Canis lupus familiaris: one gene and its partner. The protein of the gene in region 2 interacts with the protein of the main gene of each other region in a pairwise test. Links are inferred from orthologs where the notes say so. Each region holds a gene or a part of one and is shown on either strand. Other genes may lie near its edges.

Region 1 (9,617 bases), on a different chromosome or scaffold from region 2:
TAGATATTTTGGCAGCACTTTATGTCAAAGGCTTAAAAAAAAAAAAAAAAAAACCAACAAAGCCATAACTCAACAGTCACCAAATGCCTTAAAAAAAAAAAAAAAGTCCTTCACATAGAACCTGGTAGAGGTCTTCAGAATCTTCAACACTTTGAATCTACCAAAGAACTGAATTCATTCAAATGCAAGGCAATATTTGCAAAGACATAAATTTGAGTTATTTCTTAATTTCTCTATTTCTCACGTACATACTGCCTTCCAAATGAGTGATTCTAACCTTATGTAAGATCAAGAATGAAAAAAAAAAAAAAAAGCCATAGGACCATCACAGGCAAATTCTCTCTTTCTCCACCACGCTGGAATATTGAGTGACAGGTCACATGGGCCAAGGACACATTTTTAAGGCAAGATGTTAATACAGCTTTAAAGACGCCTGTGGCCTGTAACTTCTTTTGGCTTCCCCCACAGATGACTTCACCTCCACTTCACACAGCTAAGGTGTATCGTGTGCTCTTGATATACAGTCATATAGTTTCTTTTATTCTACACAGAGGTTATATTAGTAAAGTGGCCCTTAAGTAAAATAAAATACAATACGAAGCTCACACTGCCTCCTACTGTTAGAAGGAAAATTTCATGAGGTCAAAATGGTCCACAAATTGCAGTTTAATGGGAGTAAGGGGTCTATCTTATTTTTTCCTTTCTCTTCTTTTTTTTTAATATAATGACCTATTTTCAAACCAAAACCTCAAGTATTAAGACAGGGTCTGCAACCCACACAAATGCACTGCAGAAAACCCTACTAGGAATGACTTCAGAATTGGAAATCATGTTCCTCAAACATGTTTTTGACTTTGTATGTGATGTAATTAAACAAAAACATTAATAAAAAAAAAAAAGAGGAAGAAGAAAGAAAGACAGAAAGCAAGAAAGAAAAAGAAAAGTTAAAAGCACTACCCTGCCTGGTCAGGTGACTGGTGACTTCACCAAATCTAAGGCAGTATTAGGAGTTGGTTTCTCCCCTTCCCTACCCACAGTGAGGTAAACTGCTCCCTGTCAGCAGAACAGATTCAAAATCCTGCTTATCTTGTAGTCAAATGGTAATGGCCATACCCTCAGGGCTTCTTAGACCTTTAAGATTTTTTCCATATTTACGGGAGTTGGAAGTAATGTCACCCAACTTGTCACTGAGGTATTTCTGCTGGGAGCATCATGCACCTGCTGCCCCTATCCACCTCAGCCTCGATACTGTATTAAATCACTGAATATGAAACACAGAAACACAAACAATAGTTTTGGATTTGTTTCTTTAAAAATGACATCTGTATTAAAAGTCTTAAAATGGAGAGACAATGATTAAACGCGTGTCTGGAATTAAAAATTACAATTAGTGAGAATTCTCTTGGTACATCACAACAGGAAAATTTTGTTCTTTGCTTCTGGAGGAACACCCTAGAACAGATAACCCCAAAAAATTTTTAAAAATAATACAAAGGGGAGCTAAATACCTGAACATTTGAACAAAATGAAGCCAGATAAAAAAGAAAGAAAGAAGGGCAAAAAAAGAAAAAAAACAAAAAAACAAAACAAAACAAAATAAAAAAACAAAAAAACAAAACAAAAAAAAACAACCAAAACCATTGCAAGACATGGAAATTACATTTTAAGGGCTGGAAATAATAAAGAAATTCACCAAACAACAGGCCCTATTGTCCTGGCTCCTTCAGGAAGATTACAGAAAGGAAACTAGGAAGTGGTTTGGGGAATAGCAGATTCTGGGTTATGGTGGGAAGTTCACAGGTTGGCACCGGCTGGAACAGCTGAGTTTTGAAGGCACTCTGCAGACACAGGGGTGCTGGGGCCCTGAATCACATTTTTGAAGTCTTTGTACTGTATTTTAAAGAGCTAGTCATCAAAACCTGTCACTGCCAACCAAAAAGAAAAGCTAAACTTAAAAAAAAAAAAAACAAAAAACAAAAAGAAACCCAAAGAAACACACACACACACACACACACACACACAGTACACACAAAAATGTGCAGATCTGTAACATTTTTTTTTCACAGCTGATAAAAAAAAAAAAAAAATACTACCGTTCTCCCCCAGACTCCCCTTTGATACAGTAGGTAAACAAAATAGATTTTTTTTTTTTCCACAAATATCAGCAGACACTTTCTGGCACCCCACACTGCATTGGCATCAGTGTTTACAGTCCCAGTTCAGATGTGCATACTTCAGATTGGATACACTGTAACAAGAATCCAACTTTGCATAGACATCCTTAGAATCACAATCAGTCACAGGGTTGCCCTTCCAAGCTGGCAGAAAAGGAACCCGATCTTTAATTTCCAGCTCCTCCTGGAAAAAAAAAAAAAAAAAAAAAAAAGGAAAGAAAAAAAAATAAAAAAATAAAAAATAAAAAAAGCCAACACAAAAGTTTCTTCCCTTCCTCCTGTCCTGCTCCTTCATTTGGTTCTCCCGGACTTCCTTCCATGTGGAACTACAAAAAGGGGTGGTTGGAGGCAAAAGAAAAAAAATAAAAATAAAAAAAAAAAAAGGAAAAATTGCCCCCTCCCTTTCTACCTCCCCACCCCATTTATTTATTTATTTTTATTTATTTTCTTTTTCTTTTTTTTTTTTTTTTGCAGGCTGAAACTTTGGCCCGTGTCGAGCTGCCCACACAGCGCCCTAACGGCTCCTTACGCGGGGAGTGGGGTGGAAAAATCCGCGTCTCCCGGGGTCCACGAGCAGCGTGCATGCAGCAGGAGCCGCACCGCCCCCGGGGCTGCACCGGGGCTGCACCGGGGCTGCACCGGGGCTCGGAGGGGGAGGTCAGCGGAGGTCGGCGGAGGTCGGCGGAGGTCAGCGGAGGTCGGCGGGGGTCGGGAGCCGGGCGGTGCAGCCCAGCCGGGCCCCCGGCACCCCCGCCCCCGCCCCGGGGCCGAGGCACAGCGGCCCCCGAGGTCGGCGCGGGCGCAGCGCATCCCCCCCGCGGGGGCGGGCGCGGGGGCGGGCGCGGGGGCGCGGGGCTCCCGCGCGCGGGCGGCTCAGAGGATCACGCAGGCCGAGCAGCAGCCCTCGTCGCCGTTGGGCTGCGCCGCGTAGTTCATCTGCCGCACGATCTCCGCGAACAGCTCGTCCACCGAGGCTTTGTTTTTGGCCGACGTCTCCATGAAGGGGCAGCTCCACTCCTCGGCCAGGGCCTTGCCCTCGCCGTACGACACCTCGCGCTCGCCCTCCAGGTCCACCTTGTTGCCCACCAGGATCATGGGCACGCGCTCGTACCGCTTGACGCGGATGATCTGGTCCCGCATGGGCTTGATGTCCTGGAAGCTCTGCTGGTTGACCAGGCTGTAGACGAGGATGAAGCCCTGGCCGTTCTTGATGTACAGGTCCCGCATGGACGCGAACTGCTCGGTGCCCGCCGTGTCCAGGATCTCGAGCACCGACGGCGACGAGTCCACCTCGATCTCCTTGCGGTAGAAGTCCTCGATGGTGGGGTCGTACTTCTCGATGAAGGAGCCGGTCACGAACTGCACGGTGAGCGCCGACTTGCCCACGCCGCCCGAGCCCAGCACCACCACCTTGTACTCTCTCATGGCTCCGCCGGCGCCCTCGCCGCGCCCGCCGCGGCCCCGTCGGGGGTGCGCGCCGCGGGGCGCCTGGGCTCGTCGGCTGCACGACCTGCCCCCGGGCTCAGCCTGGCGGCGGCGGCGGCGGCGCGGCGGCGACGGCGGCGGCGCGGGAGGACAATGCCGGCGGCCCGGGCGGCGGGAGGCGGCGGCGGCGGCGGCGGCGGCGGGCTGCCGGGGGGGCTGCTGCTACGTGCGCGCCGGCCCGGGCCGCGCGTGGCATGGGGCCCCGCAGACCGTGCGCCCACCGCCGCGGCCCAGCGCGCTCTCCCCGCAGCCTCCGCGGGGCGACGGCTTCCTACTCGCCGCGCGCAGCCCGGCCCTCCCCGCCCCGGCGAGCATGCCCAGTGCGCCGACGGCCTCGCCCGCGCCAGCCGCCGCGCCGGGTTTTCCGGGGGGCCGGGCAAGGGGGCGGGGCCGCGCGCGGGGGGGGCGGGGCCGGGGCGGGGCCTCCCCAGGAGCGGCCTGCGAGAGGCTCGGGGTCGGCACGGGGGGCGGGGCCTCGCGCGGGGGCGGGGCTTGGGCCGCGCTGGGGGCGGGGCGAGGGCGGGGCCTCCCCGGGAGCGGCCTGCGAGGGGCTCGGGGCTGGGCGCGAGGGGCGGGGCCTCGCGCGGGGGGCGGGGCCGGGGCCTCCCGGGGAGCGGCCTGCGAGGAGCTCGGGGGCGGGGCCGCGCGGGGGGCGTGTCCGGGGGCGGGGCCTCCCGGGCCGTGCGAGGGGCCCAGGGCCGGGCGCGGGGTGAGCAGCGCGCGTGGGTGTGCACGGGGGCGGCTTGGTGCAGCGGGGCGGTGGCGCCGCGGCGTGGGCTGCGCGCTCGGCCGCTCCCGTTGTCCCGGGCGCCGGGAGACCCCGAGGGCGTGGGAGCGGCGCGCGGGGCACCTGTGCCCCCTCCCACGGCGCGGGCCCCGACACGCTCCCGGCCCCCCACTCCCGTCGTCCCGCACAAAGGGGCCCGCGGGGGCTCCGGCCGGCACAGGGGAGCCTCCCGGAAGCGCGGAGGCCGGGCCGACCCCCAGCCGCACGGCCGCGGCGCCGGCAGCGAGCCCGGGCATGCTCAGTGGGCGGAACAGGTTTTCGGGCTTAGAAATAGGAAGCTGGGGCCCGCGCAGCCACCGCGCGGCTCACATTACCTCTCCCGGCCTCGGGCCCCATTGGCCCCGCCGCGCCCGTCTCGCCGCCCCGGCCGGGGCCCCATTGGCTGCCGCCGAGGCTCCCGCACTTGCGGCCGCTTCATTGGCGGAAAAGTAGCCTCGGCTCGCGATTGGCGCCTGCGGAGCTCGAGCGGGGGGCGGAGGCGCAGCTGTTCTTTCCCCGCTGCTCCCCGCCCCCCCCTCCCGCTTCCCCCGACCTAGTCGTTCTGGGAGCCCGGGGTGCAAAAAAAGAAGAGGAATTAAGGCGGAGAGCTCGGCGCTAAATATAGTGCCCCGCTGGCGCTGCGGGGCGAGCCTGGCTGCGCAGCGCCCGGAGGCCGCGGGCGCCCTGCTCCCCCCGCTGGGCCCGGGCTCCTGCGGAGTTTGCAAAGTGTGCGGCTGGGCGGGAAGTGGGGGGACGGGGGCGTGCAAGGGGGCCGCCCGGACTGCGTGCGCCGCCCGCTCCGGGTCCCGGGGCGGGGGCGGGGGCGGGGATGCCCAGGCTTGTCCTCCTGCAGACGTCTGGGTTTGGGGGCGGGCCGCCTGCACGTCGGGCTGGGCTCGCGGCCGCGGGAGGGGCGGGGGCGCTGCCTCGACCTGCCCCAGCCTCCCTGCCTCCTCGCCCGGGGCCGGGACCCGGGACCTGTCGGGGGGCCCGCGTGTGCACGAGCCCCGGAGCCGGGGGTGCGGGGGTGGGTAGGGGGGCACGAGCTGCGTCAACCCCCCCAGCTCCGAGTCTGCACTTTTTTTTTTTTTTTTTTTTTGGTTTTGCAAGCCGAGGCTACTCGCGCTCGGCGTGCGCTTCGGACGAGACGCGCCCGGCTGCGTGGCGAGCGCTGGGTTTGGGCCCCGGGTCCGGCCACGTTCGCGGGCTGACCTGCCCCGAGCCGCGGAGGCGCAGCCCCAAGTCCCCACCGGCCCCGGCGGGACGTGGGTGCAGCCGCCGCCTGGGGGGTGGGGAGGGGAGCGGGGTGCTGGGGGGTGCCGGGGGGTGCCCGCCCCGCCCTCACGGTGGAGCGCAGACAACGTGTTTTAACCTTGACTATCAGAGAGCCCGCCTCGAACTCTGTGCTTATGTAATCCTCCAGGAAAAAAAAAAAAAAAGAAGAAAAAAGCAAAGAGCACCCCACCTGTCAGAGGCACACCCACCTCCTGCAGCAGAGGAGAAGCCCCGCAGCACTGACCAGCGCTGAATGTCTGCAGAAGGTCCCGCACGGCTCCTCCGCGCCGCCTCACAGGCCTTGTTACACCTGTTTTAAAGAGGAAGCAACTGAGGTCCTGGGATGTTGGGTGACTTGCCTGCGATTTCCCAGCGGGTGAGTGGCCGGGCTAGGACCCCGGCCTCCCTGTTGGGCTGCAGAAGCTGGCGTGTGCCTCTCGGGGCCCTACTGCCTCCTCTCGGGGAAGTCCCCAGGTTGTACTCTTGCTTAGGGTCAGCCTTGGGGCCTGAGGTCAGACTGTCTCCACCCCAAGCGAGAGGGACCTCTGCCCACCGCCCCGGGGTTCTCCCCTGGTGATGCACCCTCCCGCAGGGTCAAGGAAGCTGAACCTGCTTCTAGGCCAGGCTCCAGGGAGTCAGAATTCTGGAATCCTCTGCCCAAATAGGACTTGCTTGGAATTTTGAACTCAGTCCTGTGTCCAGGGATGGCTGTTTGTTGGGCTGAGGTGTGCACTCCCAGGTGCTGTGGGCTCCCAGTGGGTGCAGGAAGGGTCCTCCATGGAGTCAGCTTTGCTTCCCTTCCCCTTTCCAGCCTCCTCCTTGGAAGAGTCCCGAATTCCTGATTCACACCATGCAGGTCCTTGTAAGGAGGTATTTGTCAGGGTGAGAGGACACATGGATCCTATTTTGTTAACAGTTTGCTATCTTGATTTATAACTTAAGTATTTAGAGTAATGCTATGTGGGCCTCTCTTTGTCCTCTTGCCCACAAATACTAGGAAGGGTCCTGAGTCTGACATAATAGAAAATACTTTGTCCTTACAGGTCTGGTGTCTCGTCTCAAGAACTGGATATCAGTTATTATCTGAGACCTTGGGCGAGTCCCTTGAGCTCTCTTGACTCCAGTTTCCCCGTCTATAAAATGGTGATAATAAAATTTGCCCTATGTACCTAGCTACATGAGGAACCTTGGAGAGAATCTAGTGACCAAACCCCTCATTTTGCATCAGAGAGAAGGGAGCAAAATTAGAACCCTGGTGTCCTGGCTGCACTTTACATGGTGCCAGCCTGTCCTCAGGGAAAATAATTGACAGATAATGGATGGAAACATGCTTTTAAAGCTGCAGAGCCCCATGAATGCATGGCAGTTACTACTCTGACCCAGGTAGCCTCACAGCCTGGTCTAGAAGATTCCCTCCTCAGGACCTCAGGTCGTCACGTGGATCGGTATTACCGAATCTTGGTACCAGTACCAGAAAGATGCCACAGTGTGAACACTGTCTATTAGGGATTCTTCGGTAGTAGTGTTTATTATGTTCAGGTGCTCTCTCACAGACAGATTTGCACTAGGACTTTGGGATTCAAAATGAAGTAAAGAAACTGATGACACATATATTTTTAGGATTGGCCACTTCCTCCTGTGAAATCTGTTAGGTGTCTTTACCTCACTTAGGGCATGAATCATTATCTGTCCTCTACTGTAATTATTGACACGTCTATGTCTTGTCACCCAGCACCTTGGGAATGCCTTGAGGGCAGAGGCCATATCTGGCTTATCTTTGGAGCCATCTCTGACCCTCATAACACCTAGTACAGTGCCTCCGCGGGAGGCCCTCCATAAATATTTATTGATGAAACTAGGAAGTACATTTTATTCCTTTTCCAAATTCCACTTGTAGTAGAAGATTATATTAATCCATGGTGAGACATACCACTTCCTGGATCCTTAGAAAAATGTATACCGACGTTACCGTCTCCCTGAGTCATCAAAATGACTTTTAAGATGAGCAGAGTCTATCCTTATTTGGGTGGAAGCACTAAATCGGTGCTGTCTTGGGGAAAGATACCAAGCCTCCAGTGGATAAAGCCTTTCTCCGAAGAAGACTGACTTTTGCACGTAACCTGAAAAGGTATTTCTAGGAAACAACCTAATGTAAAAGTTACCGGGTAAGGACTGCTTAAGCACTGACAATGTATGTTGACAATGTATGTTGCACAAACAAGGGTACCCTCCTCCCTTGGCTTTTGCTCCCACAGCGGGGACTGCTGAGCTTCTGGGACACTGAGATTGGGCCTTCGGGCAATGAGATGGTTTGTTGGAATCCAGGTCTTCTAAGTCCTCAAGAGCATAAGCCACCTACCTGCCTCCACGTTTACAGAAAGCAGAGGTTTATTTCATCACGATTGTAGCTTTAGCTGATGCCACTTCGTGTTTTCTTCGAGCATTTTTAAGGTTTCTTTTTCTTTTTTTTTTGGCTTTTTTTTTTTTTTATTTTTTTTATGGCCCCACTTTGCTTTTCATTTGAAAGGAGAGCATCAGTAAAGATGGAGCGATTGAGATCTAAGCAATAGGATGTCCGCGGAATGGGAGTTTCTGGGGAGAGGACCAAGGAGGAGTCTGAGGACTCTAGTGGGAAGCCTGAAGATACATACTTTCTCTCCAACAGTCAAGAAAAAGCCAAGAGACCTGAAGTGGAGCTTGAGAGGGTGAGAAGTTGAGGAAGTTCAAGCTACAAGCAACCTTCTCTTCATAAATAAAAAATGGCAAGGCACCTGCTGTAGGAAGGGAGGTCAGGTGTGGGCTTGGGAACGAGTAGAAATGAAGCTTTTTAACAGTGACTGTGCAGTACGCAGTATGATGTTGCTAACCTGCTAAATTTGGTTTACGTGAATTTGTGAAGATGCCAATTCAACTTTCTTTTTTTCTTTTTCTTTTTCTTTTTCTTTTTTTTTTTTTTAAGAAGGATCTTGATAATTCCTCTTAAGTCTGGTGGGTTTCTGTTAAAATCCCTGAGGGTTTTGTATCAACACATACAAACAAATAATTATAAAAGTAAGTATGTCTCTCTCACATGTCAACCTTAGTGAAAATACACACACAAACCACTGATTTATGTGATTAAAAGTTTCATTACTAAGGGGAAATTAAATGAACTCAATAAAACTGTCTTACCTATACGGTCTCTTGAGTTTTTCTTTCTGTTGCATGCTAAATTAAAATAAGACCTTGAGTACCTAAGCTCAGAGAAGGAGTCACTTTGAGTACTAGGATATTTGTCTAGAAAATGTTGTACTTGTGCAGGATTTTCTGTCACAATAAGGAAAATAGTTATGTCATTTTCATTAGATAAGTAGCATATGTTTATGGTAAGGAATTTGGGATGTTTAAAAAAAAAGAAAGAATAAAGTAAAACTAACCAATTACCACCCAACTCCCCCCCCCAAAAATAAACCCTGACCTTTTTTTATATACTTTTCTTGTCTTTATTATAGAATTATTTAAAAGGTAGAAAACTAGCTCTAGTGTTCTTGTGACTATTTGAGTCTATTTGAGCTCAAGGTAGGGTTCAGTTATTCTATAGCCAAGAAATTAAAAGTCAAATAAGACAAATATCCTAAGTACTCCTTTATCAAAGAATTTTCCTCTTGTATTTAATGGGTTTTCTTTCGATGGGACTATTTGTGTCTCATAGGCTAACATTGCCCGGGAAGTTCCTTTCTTGGCAAAGTCCCCGAGGACAACCTGGTTTGGGGGGTGTTTGGCCAGAAGGTGGGATGAAGCATGTCCAGGGTCATGACCTCCGGGCGTCAGAACACAGCAGCCTGTCTGCACAATTAGCGAGTGAATCGAGGGCTTCAGCTGCATTCTCCCAAATGGTTTTGTCCCTCTCCAGAAATGATCTTCCTCTTTGTGGCAAA
Region 2 (10,784 bases):
CCAGCGGGGTGCTGGCTCCTCCAGGGTCCCGGGGGAAGGGGCCCCAGCCCATCCCAGAGGTGCGCGTCATGGCAGCCGAGCAGGCAGGCAAGCTGACCCCCACACCCTAGTTTAGGACGGGCCCCGTAGCCCCACGCAGCACAGGCGTCAGAGCTGCTGCAGGCCAGGACCGGCACAGCAGCTCAAGGGGACGCAGCCAGCCCTGCCCGGCCTTCCTCCCAGAACCAGGCCCTGGGTGGAGGCGGAGAGACCCTGGGATAGACCCCCTCAGTCCCGGACTCTCAAAACCCCCTCTCCAGACTGTGCTACTCAAGACGGCCATACCACTCTGGGGACAGACGGCTCCAGCAGGGCCCAGGCTCCAGAAAGCCCAACAGCAGACACGAATCCTCTTCGCCCATCCCAAACACTTCCCCTCAGGAACTCCCTTTAACCAGAGCCTGAGAGTCTGGGCGCAGGGCAGGGGGCGCACGGCCAGGCCCCTCCTAAAAGCGGCTCCTGTACATTCACGTCTCAGTCCTGGACTGACTCCAGGGCCCTGCTCAGCCCCGTCTACGCTGGGTGTCACAAGCACCAGGCGGGCGCTTCCTCCAGACTTTCTCAAGCCAGATGTGCTACTTGGCAGCAAGTGCCCCAGGCCCCTGGTAGACAAGCAGAGGCCTCTGCAGCACCCACCAGGGGTCCCCAAGCCATGCCTCCCCCACCCCCCACGGATGCCAGCTCTCTTGCCTCCTCTCCGGGAAGCCCGAGATGCTCTAACGACTTGCAGCATTCATCTCTACAAAGACACCCTGGGCTCCTCTGCCCGGGGGTACTGTGTCACCCAGATCCTGTCCCCCTCGGGGGAGCGATGGCCTTGGAGCAGAGACCCCCTCCCAGTGCAGCTGGCTGAGAGGGGTCGACATAGCAGAGGGGCTTCAGCCCAAGGGCCCAGCCTCTGCCTCGTCCCCTCGCTGGTCGCCCGGGACAGCCATGCTGGGCTCAGCCCACATGCACTGACCACCCCCGGGACAGCAGCCCTGGGTGCCCCGGCAGGGGCTGCGCATGCACACGGCCTCATGCAGTCGCTCTGCTCCGCATCCGCTGCAGGCAGGTGGGCTTCAGGCAGGAGCCCCCGGCAGAGAGCAGCCCAGAGGCTTGGCTCACTGGGCTGGGCAGCAGCGCGTCACCAGGAGCGCCCAGGCTCCCTGTTCCCTGGCCCCGCTTCCTCCTTCCCGTCACGCGCTCCAGAAAGGCTCCGGAGAGGAAGCTAAGGATCGAAGCCCTCTGGGGCCTTGCCGCCGGGCACATCCTCTGGGCTCACGGGAGGGGCGCAGACCCTCGTTCCCGAGGGTGGCCCTGCCCTGAGTACCCCCAGAAGGAGGTGGCTGGGGGACGCATCCCCTGCGGGACCTGGAGGCAAGAGCTGGGGTGGACGGCTGGCTGGGGCGGCCTCTGCCCTGACCAAGCCGAAGCACGAGGCACCAGCACAAAACCAGGCCCCAGAGCTCCGTCTGGGGAGCCCGGGGATGGCACCACCCCAGCTGCAGGTGGCTCCGTGCACCCTAAACCTGCACCACCCTCAGCTCAAGCTGGTCCACCCTCAGATCCTGGGGCCCGGTCCACCGGCCCTCAGGGGTTCTGGCTAAGGTCACAGCTGGGTGGGCGGGAGCTGCTGGCCTGAGGCTCCTGGGAGGAGCAGGCCGGCTTCACACGTGTGGGAAGAGATGAGGGGCCTCATACAAAAAACCAACAGGACGTTCGGGGAGGGGGTGCTGAGGCTCCCCTGTCCTGGGGCTCACAGGGCACACATGCACACGTCGGACCCAGCACAGACCACCAGCTCCATGCGAGTGACGGGGAGCAGCACAGGGCAGGTCCCTGGGGGCAGGGGGGGCCAGGCCGGGGGTGCACAGTGCAGGGTGTCTTTCTCCCCGGGAGTCCCCCACTCAGGCTCCAGACCCCACAGCAGCCCTGAGGCTCCCTCTGGGTGCTCAAGGTCACTCTGAGCAGGGCTCGTGAGGCACAAGTGGGGAGAGACAGCAGAGAGCACAAGACTCTGTCCAGAGGGGTCTCCTGACCCCTAGAGTCTAGGGGGTCAGGGGTCAGGACCGAGGATCCGTGTGATGCACGTGGGGGGAGGCAGGACTCAGGGGTCACCTAGCCTGGCCCCTCCTTTAGCATAGCGGGGGCTGCCTCCTGTTCTCCAAGTGGGACCTGTCCAGGGCGGGAGCGGGGGCTCCCGGGGCCTAGGGGGTGGCTCTGGAGGCCCGGCCGGCAGCTGCGTGCAGCGAGGGGGCTGCATGCCGCCAGGCGGGACCCTGGTCACGAACATCTACCTTGTTCCACCAGCCCCATGGTGGTGCCGGAGGCCGCGGTGGACATTGTGGCCGGAGCGGTGGTCTGTCTGCCCACTGTTAGCACCGGGTTAGAGACGAGGGAGGGGCGGACACAGACGGGGCGGGCAGGGGAGGGAGGAGGAGAGACAAAGGAAGCAGAAGAAGATTAGAGTCCACAGTCGGTGGCGGATGGCTCCAGAGTCCCGTTCCCGGGAGAGTGGGAACAGGACCCAGACTGAGTGACAGGTGAAAAGCATCTGCCTCCTTTCTCCTTAGAAAACCCCAGCGGGGGCTTCTCGCGCCCAGGATGGGACCCATCGTGCTGGAGTGACACACACCCCCCGTTCCCGGCACCACAGGATCACAGCAAAGGTCACAGGACGGGGTGCTGGATACAGACGCACAGGGACGGACCCCAGACGCTCCCGCACCCAATGACGCGGGCGACAGACAACCACAGGACAGCCAGTGGGCCACCTGCCCCTCAGGTGACGCCGTGCCCACACGGGGCCGCCAGGGCCCCTGGCCTCGGGGTCGCTGACAGACGCCCCTGAGCAGCCGCACGCCACAACCCGCCCCCGCCCCCCCCCCCCCCCCCCACCCCCCTGGCCTCGGTGCCCCAGGCGGGCAGCCACCAGCGAGTCCGGAGCTCAGTGGAGAGGTCCCGGGTCCTCCTCTCTCTCCCCCACACAGAACGGGTGCTCAGAGGGCTCAGGACAACAAGGCCACGGAGGTGCCGACAGACACACAGAGCTGCGGCCCAGGCGGCGGGCAGCTCACACATGAGGGCGTCAGGCGAGGATACAGACACCCAACACGCAGGGACGGGGGTGAGTGCCAGGTCAGGGTGGGGGCGCCCCGGAGCCTAGGCCCTGTGGCCCCGGGAGAGCAGGAGGCCAGGCCGCTGAGCGGCAGGCAGATGGGCGGGGAGATGGGGTGAGGGAAGGCGGGCGGCTGGCACTGGTGCCCTCGGAAGCCTGCTTTTCCAGGAGAAGACCATTCTCACCTGAGAAATTTCTCGTGGCCAGCATGGTGGTGAGGATCGCGCCCTGGGGAGAAACAGGCAGCTGAGGCCTGGCCACCCCGGCCCCGACCTCAGCCTGGGGGCGCCTGGCAGGACTCAGGCCCCTGCCTCGCAGACCAGTCTGCAGACTCAGCAGCTGCAGGGGACTGGCCGCCTGCTTCCAGAGTTGACAAAGCGGTGGCCGGTGGACCACAGCTTCTAGAGGGCTCCAGGACCCCAGGGCTCCTCCCACTGGCCCCCTGACAGCCTTCTCCTCCCCACCCACCAGGCTGGTCCCCTAGCTCAGCCTGCAGGGGGTCAGGGCCGCCCACTCACTCACCCTGAAGTGAGCGGCAGTGACCCGGGGCACCTGCCTGTGCACAGCCCTGGGTGCATGGAACCCTGTTGCGGGGAACCCCGAGGAAACCCCCAGCCTGCAGGCTGGTGCCACGCTCTCCAGGGTCACTGCCATGTGGGGCCCAGGATAGGGCCAAGATCGCTGGGACCGCTGTGCCTCCCCTCACTAAGCCTGCCAGGACCCCTGGGGCCGCTCCCAGTCCAGGACCCTTAAGGGCACAGTCACCTGGGCGGTGGGCACTTGGGAGCTGCATCTCACCTTGAGCTTCCTCCGGGCATTGAACTTTTTCAAGCACTCCACAGTCTCCTGTCTGTGCATCATAGAAGCCACGGTGGAGCGTTGCTGTGGGGACAGAGGCCGTTTGGATGCGGGTCAGGGAGAGGGCTGGGGCAGCAGGGCTGGGGCATCCAAGCCACCCATCCCACCTGCTGCCCAGCCCCCACCCCTTAAAATCTGCCCCCACCTCACCCTCACCCTCCCGGCCTTCCTGACAGCCGTGTTCCCCAGCCAGGCCCTCTCGTCCACCTGGACATCTCGTCCGCCTGGACATCCCGTCCCCTCATACACAGCCCCCACCTTCCCAGACACTGAGCCCTCACAAACCCCCCAGTGTGTCCCCGGCCACAGGCCGTGCAGTACTCAGGAGACCAGGGAGGCCGGTCAGCTGTGCAGAGGAGACCCCAGGGTCACCATGCTGGGTGCACTTACGCAGACCCATGGGTGCTTCAGTGCTTCGTGTGCTGTGATGCGCTTGGCGGGGTTGATGGTCAGCATCTGGTTGATGAGGTTTTTGGCTTCAGGAGTAACGGTGTCCCACTCGGGGGAGGGAAACTAGAATAGAAGGCAACCCACGAGTGTTTCTGAAGCCCTCTCCCCAGGCGGGAGCCAGATTCTCCGAGTGGTCTACATCAGGGTCCTGGTTCTGGGAAGAGGAGCTTCCCCCTGGACGGGGAGGGGTCCGAAGGGGTCCCAGCACTCACATCATAGGCTCCTGCCTTGATCTGCTGGTAGAGCTTGTGCTGGTCCTCATCCCAGAAGGGTGGGTAGCCCACCAGCAGGATGTATAGGATCACCCCTGGGGGGAACAGAGCATGGACCTCACGGGGCTGCCCCACCCCACCTCAGCCCCCAACTCCCTGAGCCCATCCTCAGGCCTCCCCTGCAGCCCCCACCCCACCCCACCCCAGGTCCCCACTCCCTGGGCCCCCTCCACTGCCTCCACCCCCACCCCACTCCAGCCCCCCACTCCCTGGGCACCCCCTGCAGCTCCATCCTCATTTCACCCCACTCCCCACTCCACTCCACTCCCTACTCCCTGGACCCCCCACAGCCTCCACTCCCACCCCATCCCATCCCCCCACTCCCTGAGCCCTTCCCCAGGCCTCCCCTGTAGCCCCCACCCCACCCCACCCTGGGCCTGCACTCCCTGGGCCCCCTCTGCTGCCTCCACCCCACCCCACCCCAGCCCCCCACTCCTTGGGCACCCCCCTGTAGCCTCCATCCCCACTCCACCCCACTCCCCGGGCCCCTTACAGCCCTCACCCCACCCCAGCGCCCCACTCCCTGGACCCCCCACAGCCTCCATTCCTACCCCACCCCAGCCCCCCACTCCCTGGGCCCCCTCCACTGCCTCCACCCCCACCCTACCCCAGCCCCCCACTCCCTGGGCACCCTCCTGCAGCCTCCATCCCCACCCCCTGGGCCCTCCGCAGCCCCCACCCCATCTCAGCCCCCCATTCCCTGAGCCCTCCCTGGGCCCCTTGCAGCCCCCACCCATGCCCCACCCCACCCAACACCCCACCCCCTGAACCACCCATAGCCTCCATTCCCTGAGCCCCCTGCGGCCCCCACCCACGCCTCATGCTCAACCCTGTGCCCTGGGAACACGAGCGTCCATCCAGGGTTCAGCTGTGCCTGGGACCCCCACCAAGGAGGCAGCCCTGCCACCGCCTGCATAGCCCCCACCCCTTAAGCACCCTGTGCTGCCCCTGGCCCAGCCCTCTCTTCTGGGCGGTGGGCTTCTCTGCCACAGCCAGGGTCGCGGTGGCAATTCTAATCTGTGCGGGCAGGGGCTCCAGGCCGGGTGCAGCCCCAGGAGTCAGCACTGCTGGTGGGCTACCCACCCTTCTGGACATCCCGTCCCCTCGCACACAGCCCCCACCTTCCCAGACACTGAGCCCTCGCAAACCCCCCAGTGTGTCTCCAGCCATGGGCCGTGCAGGGGTTGGCCTGGCCCAGCACCAGTGGTCCAGGCCCCCATGGCCCCTGCGGCCCCACGCCGCCCCTACAGGGGTCTCACCGCATGCCCAGATGTCCACCGGCTTGCCGTAGGCCTCCTTGCGCAGGACCTCCGGGGACAGGTAGCCCGGTGTGCCTGCGAACCCTGGGGGCAGGGGAAGGGCGGGGTGAGGGCCCCATCAGCCTCTGAGCCCCGTCCTCCCTCCTCCCCCTGCGGCCAGCGGGATGCTCACCAAACCATGCCTGCTGATCGCCCTGCACCTCGATGGCCAGGCCGAAGTCCGCCAGCTTCACGGCCGCCCCTTTGCACTTGCTGGCCAGGAGCAGGTTCTCGGGCTGCGGGGAAGGTGACCCACCAGTGGGTGTGTGGTTCACACCCGGGGTGTCACGGAGGGCAGGGGACACAGTAGACAGGACTGCGGTTTGCAGGCCGGGGTGCATGGGTCTGACCCCCTGCTGTGTGAGTGCTGCCCTGGCCAACACCTTGGGGCACCCCCTCAGCACCCTGGGGGCCTCTGGGGCACAGAGGAACCGGCTCACACCTCAGGGTGCAGCAACCAGACCTTAGTGCACCCGACAAGCCCTGGCAGGCGATGCCCCCACCCCATGTTCCACGTCTGGGTGCTCAGAGACACAGTGAGGGGCTGCCGGAGGAGCGGGACCCCCAGAGAGTAAGGAGGAAGGAGGCGGCTTGGAGCATCTGCCCCCACGTCCCTCTGGCTCGGGCCCATCCAGCACCCTCTGCCTCAGGGAGCAGCTGAAGGACACTCGTCCCCTGTCCCACGGCAGCACCAAGGAGACTGCGGCCCCCAACGGGGGACACGTGGCCCCGAGGGCCCAGAGTGTCCCTCTACCCCGTGTCCTGTACGCAGGGCCCCTCCCGCCCCGGCCTGGCCGCCTGTGGCAGTCGGCGGCGTGGAGCACTCGGAGCTCACGGCCTCTGGGCTCCGTTGTCTCTGGCCACAGGGGGGCTCCCAGGGCCCCCTCCCCTCCCCTCTCCTTCCCCCCATCTGGCAGGCCCACTGAGACCACACTGCCATGTCAGCTCCCCAAGAAAGGCAAACACTGCCCCAAAAAAGCTGAGTTCACACTGCTGGGTGCCCTGACAACAGTCCCTGGAGCCTGGGAAGGAGGCCGGACCCATGGCAGAAAGTGGGTCCTCCCCTGGCCCCTTGGCCCCACAAGCTGGCTGGACAGCTCTGTCGCCCATGTGACATGTGGCCTTGCCCGCCCAGAACAGCTCAGAAGGCCCTGGACATCCTCACTTTGCCCATGTGAGCAGGGCTGGGGGGACCCTGCCTCCCCATCACCTGCACCGAGGGATCTGAGTGGCAGGCGGGGGCTTCAGCAGCCCAGAGGCACCAAGGCAGCACCAAGGGATGGGCTGGGTCCCCACCCCAGCTCCACACCCCTCCGCCCCCACACCTTGCTGCGAGCAAGTCCACCACAGTACCACCTCTGGGGCTCCGTCCCCACAGGGGACAGGGGTCCTCTCCAGAAGAGGAGAGGCCGTCTGGCCTCCACAGCAGGCAGGAGACGGAGAGCCCATGCGTCCTGCCCTTCTGCTCTTTTCAGCAAGGGTTGTTTACCCCCGGGTCACACCTGGGCCAGAGGGAGCACCCATCTTCATTCCTATGCCGTGGCCTCAGGGTGAGCTACGACTCATAGGGTCCAGGAACCAGGTGGGAACGCATGCCTCCAAGTGACGCTGCTTCAAACAATATGGTGACAGACCGTGAAGCCCCAAGGGCAGACAAGGCGGGCTTAAGGCGCAGGCAGAGGGATGCAGGACCACGTGGGGTGTGCAGAGAGAGACGTGAAGGGCATAGGAGGGGGTGCTGGGCCCACTCCCGGTGGGATGTCGTCCCCAGAGCAGCCCCGCCAGGATGAGCTCACACACACACACACACACACACACACACACACACACACACACACCCCTTGGTGGCCCAAGGCATGGCCCCAATTAGCGTGAGCACCAGAGTGCCTGTGGGAAGGCTGGTCTCAAATGCCACCTGGGGACTCTCAGAGGGAATGATAGCTCCCTCACACCCTAGAGAAAAAGCTGGCAGGAGCCCAGCCTTAGAGACACGAGGAGGCGGGGAAGGCAGAGGGGGCGCTGTTCCTCCTGAGGCCACACTGTGCCCTGGGGGGTGACAAACTGTTTTGCCCAGAGCTGAGCCAGGGGCAGCAGACACTTCCAGAATGGGCTGGACACTGGCAGCGACCACCAGGGCTGGCCCTGAGCTCACCCCTACGCCCTTGGCATCAGCCCCACCTGTGCACACATCACCTGTGTGCCCCCCTGCCAGGTCTGTGTCCCACCTGGAGCGCGGAATGACACCCCAGGTGACATGTGCTAATAGGCTAATTTTTGACCACTGCCTCTCAGTCCTGAAGCCTGGAGGCATCTGGAGGGACGTGCGCACACACACACACACACACACACACGTGTGCACGTGCATTCTCACATGCGTGTACACACATGCACACACAAGTACACACCTGCGCACATTCTCACACATCTGCATGCACCTTCTTGCACCCCCACACACAAGCTCATGCACACTCACACGCAGCAGCTCCTGGCACTCCCACTGCCCCTCCAGGGCCTCCTTTTTCGAGACATGCAGGTACGGACGACAGACACCTGGCAGAGCAGGGCGGGGGACTCACCTTGAGATCCCTGTGGACGACCCCCATTTGGTGGCAATGGAGAACCGCCTCCAGGATCTGCTGGATGCAGTGACTGCAGCAAACAGCAGGCGTGTTAGTGAGGGTGGCCTCGAGGGGCAGGGGGGCAGGGTGCAGGCATGGGGTGCTGTGTGGCACTGGGGTTGTGGGGAAGCAGGGGATCAAGATGCAGCCTGCCATATGGGAGAGGAGACACCGGCCAGAAGAGAGTCTCCAGAACCCTTCCTCACCCCCACGGGCTGGCAGAGGGCACAGCCAGCCCCCTGCACCCCTGCCCAGCCGTCTCCTCTGACCCAGTAAGCGACACTTAGAGGAAACACCTGTGGTCCCCGTGCACCCTCCCCAGGCTCACACCGACTGCGCCCAAAGCTGGGCCAGGCGCCCTCCGAGAGGGGGCTAGGGCTGAGCCCACACCCTGCCAGGCAGGCTGGCACCACGCAGCAGGGTGGCACCCGAGCACCAGGACCACACTCTGTTCTGGGGCAGCTGCTGGAGCGTTAACAGCCCCAAACGTCCACACTGACTGCTGGCTGCTGTGCTGGGCCGCCCGGGGCTCTGAGCCAGGGAGCAGTCTGGGGCCTTCTGGGCGGGAGGGAGAGGTGGGGGCCACTCTCAGGCACCTCGGACACCTGTGCATGAGCAACATCACCCGAGCACAGACCCTGACACCCGCCCCACTACACACACCAGCTTCTGGCCTGAGCCCACCTCCCCCAGATGGCCCAAGGGGTGCACATAGTTTCCAGCTGCCCCAGAGCCAGCCACAGGCCGCCGGGAGCCCTGGACCTGCCTGGGACCATATTCACAGCCCTGGACCTGCCCGGGCCACAGTTGCATCCCCTTTTGGTGGCGGTGGGGGGTGCAGACTGCTTCAGGACCCCTCCTGCCATAGCTAGACCCTGCGAGGTGATGGCCAGTCAGCTGTGGCGTGGGCTTCGTTTTCCTAATGGCGCACTCCAGGCGGGGTGAGGGACCAGACCGGTTCCTCAGATAGCTCTGGCCACACCTGGGGACCATCGCCTGCTGCCTGAAAAAGGAGACCTGTTTCCTCCCTGCAGCGGCCAGAGCCTAGCGACCTGCTGATTGATGATTCCTGAGCTTTGTGGAGGTCAGGAAACAACCCCTGATACCACCCTCCCATGTCCTGAATCTCCTGCCCTCGTGTCCTAGGGTCTCCTGTCCCATGTCCTGGCCTAACTTGCCCTCAAAGCCTTTCCTGCTCACATGACTCCCACAAAGTACTCAGTCCCCGGGGATCCTCATCTGTGTCCCGGTGGCACCAGGCCCACATCCAGCCACTGCCAGCCCCCGTTCTACAGGCACAGGCTCGGCCCCTGTGGGCTGATCCCTCACAGCAAGCTCACCATGGGGGTGGGGGGTTGGAGGTGGAGGGAACCCACTCCACGGGGCAAAGCTCTTTGGAGGCCCCCTGCTAAGGCCAGGCAGGCCACTGGGTACAGCGGAGACAGGGTGACACCCCCAGCACTGGCCACTGAGGTCGCTGAGCCAGGGCCCGGGGTGGGAAACACCTTCTTGGCCTCCAGAGACCGGCCGCTCACAGCCGACCCGGAGCCCTGGGCCATCAGATCCCTGAGGCCACCCGCACGCAGCTTCTGCCCGGAGCGAGGGGAGCCCAGGCGGACCAGCGCCTTCCTGGGCTGCGACGGCTCTGCCCCGGCAAGCACCCAGCTGTACACCCTGCAGGCCCTTCCCGGCACCGCGGCCTCTCCGCCCCGGGCAGGTGTGGCCTGGACCTCCGGCTGCTCCCGCCAGCCCTGGGGTGACCTGGCTTCCGGGCAGACCTGCTGAGCCCGCGGCACATCCTGCTTCACCTCCAGGTCACGCACATCCCGCCTTCACCCGGAGACCATCCCGTGGCGGGGACAGCGCCCTCTGCACGCCCCATGTTGGCCGTGCCCACAGCAGTCCCACGGCAGCCGCGGGCTCGGGGTGGGTGTCCCTGCACTGGCCCGCGGCCTCCGTGGCAGTGGACAGGTGGCTCTCTGCTCCCAATTCTGTCTCTGCCCCACCCAGCAGCAAGACGTTCTGAGACTGTTTGTTGGACCCACGGGTCCATGTGCTGCGGGACAGACTAGTAACGTGGGCTCCGGGCGGGTGGGCTGCACCCTGCCCTCCCCATCCCTCCTGGGAGTGCCGGGCCCAGACACGCACC

The links.
Region 1: the proteins of CAMK2B (region 2) and RAP2B interact in binary tests that used the Homo sapiens proteins (3 or more experiments, as listed by UniProt). The two-hybrid records come from large-scale screens. The link is inferred for Canis lupus familiaris from reciprocal best matches to the Homo sapiens genes CAMK2B and RAP2B.

The regions. Positions count from the first base shown.
Region 1 is NC_049244.1:48,048,670-48,058,286, reverse strand, and holds RAP2B (ras-related protein Rap-2b), read right to left. Parts: upstream 3,650-9,617; 5' UTR 3,600-3,649; coding exon 3,048-3,599; 3' UTR 3,044-3,047; intron 3,009-3,043; 3' UTR 2,957-3,008; downstream 1-2,956. Other genes in the region: serine/arginine repetitive matrix protein 1-like, read left to right, coding at 3,854-4,035, 4,412-4,700, 4,879-5,153, 5,849-6,076, 6,744-6,873. UniProt on the Homo sapiens protein: Small GTP-binding protein which cycles between a GDP-bound inactive and a GTP-bound active form. Involved in EGFR and CHRM3 signaling pathways through stimulation of PLCE1.
Region 2 is NC_049237.1:14,307,527-14,318,310, reverse strand, and holds part of CAMK2B (calcium/calmodulin-dependent protein kinase type II subunit beta), read right to left. Parts: intron 8,667-10,784; coding exon 8,594-8,666; intron 6,254-8,593; coding exon 6,151-6,253; intron 6,063-6,150; coding exon 5,979-6,062; intron 4,755-5,978; coding exon 4,660-4,754; intron 4,511-4,659; coding exon 4,388-4,510; intron 4,022-4,387; coding exon 3,938-4,021; intron 3,368-3,937; coding exon 3,325-3,367; intron 2,394-3,324; coding exon 2,319-2,393; intron 1-2,318. UniProt on the Homo sapiens protein: Calcium/calmodulin-dependent protein kinase that functions autonomously after Ca(2+)/calmodulin-binding and autophosphorylation, and is involved in dendritic spine and synapse formation, neuronal plasticity and regulation of sarcoplasmic reticulum Ca(2+) transport in skeletal muscle.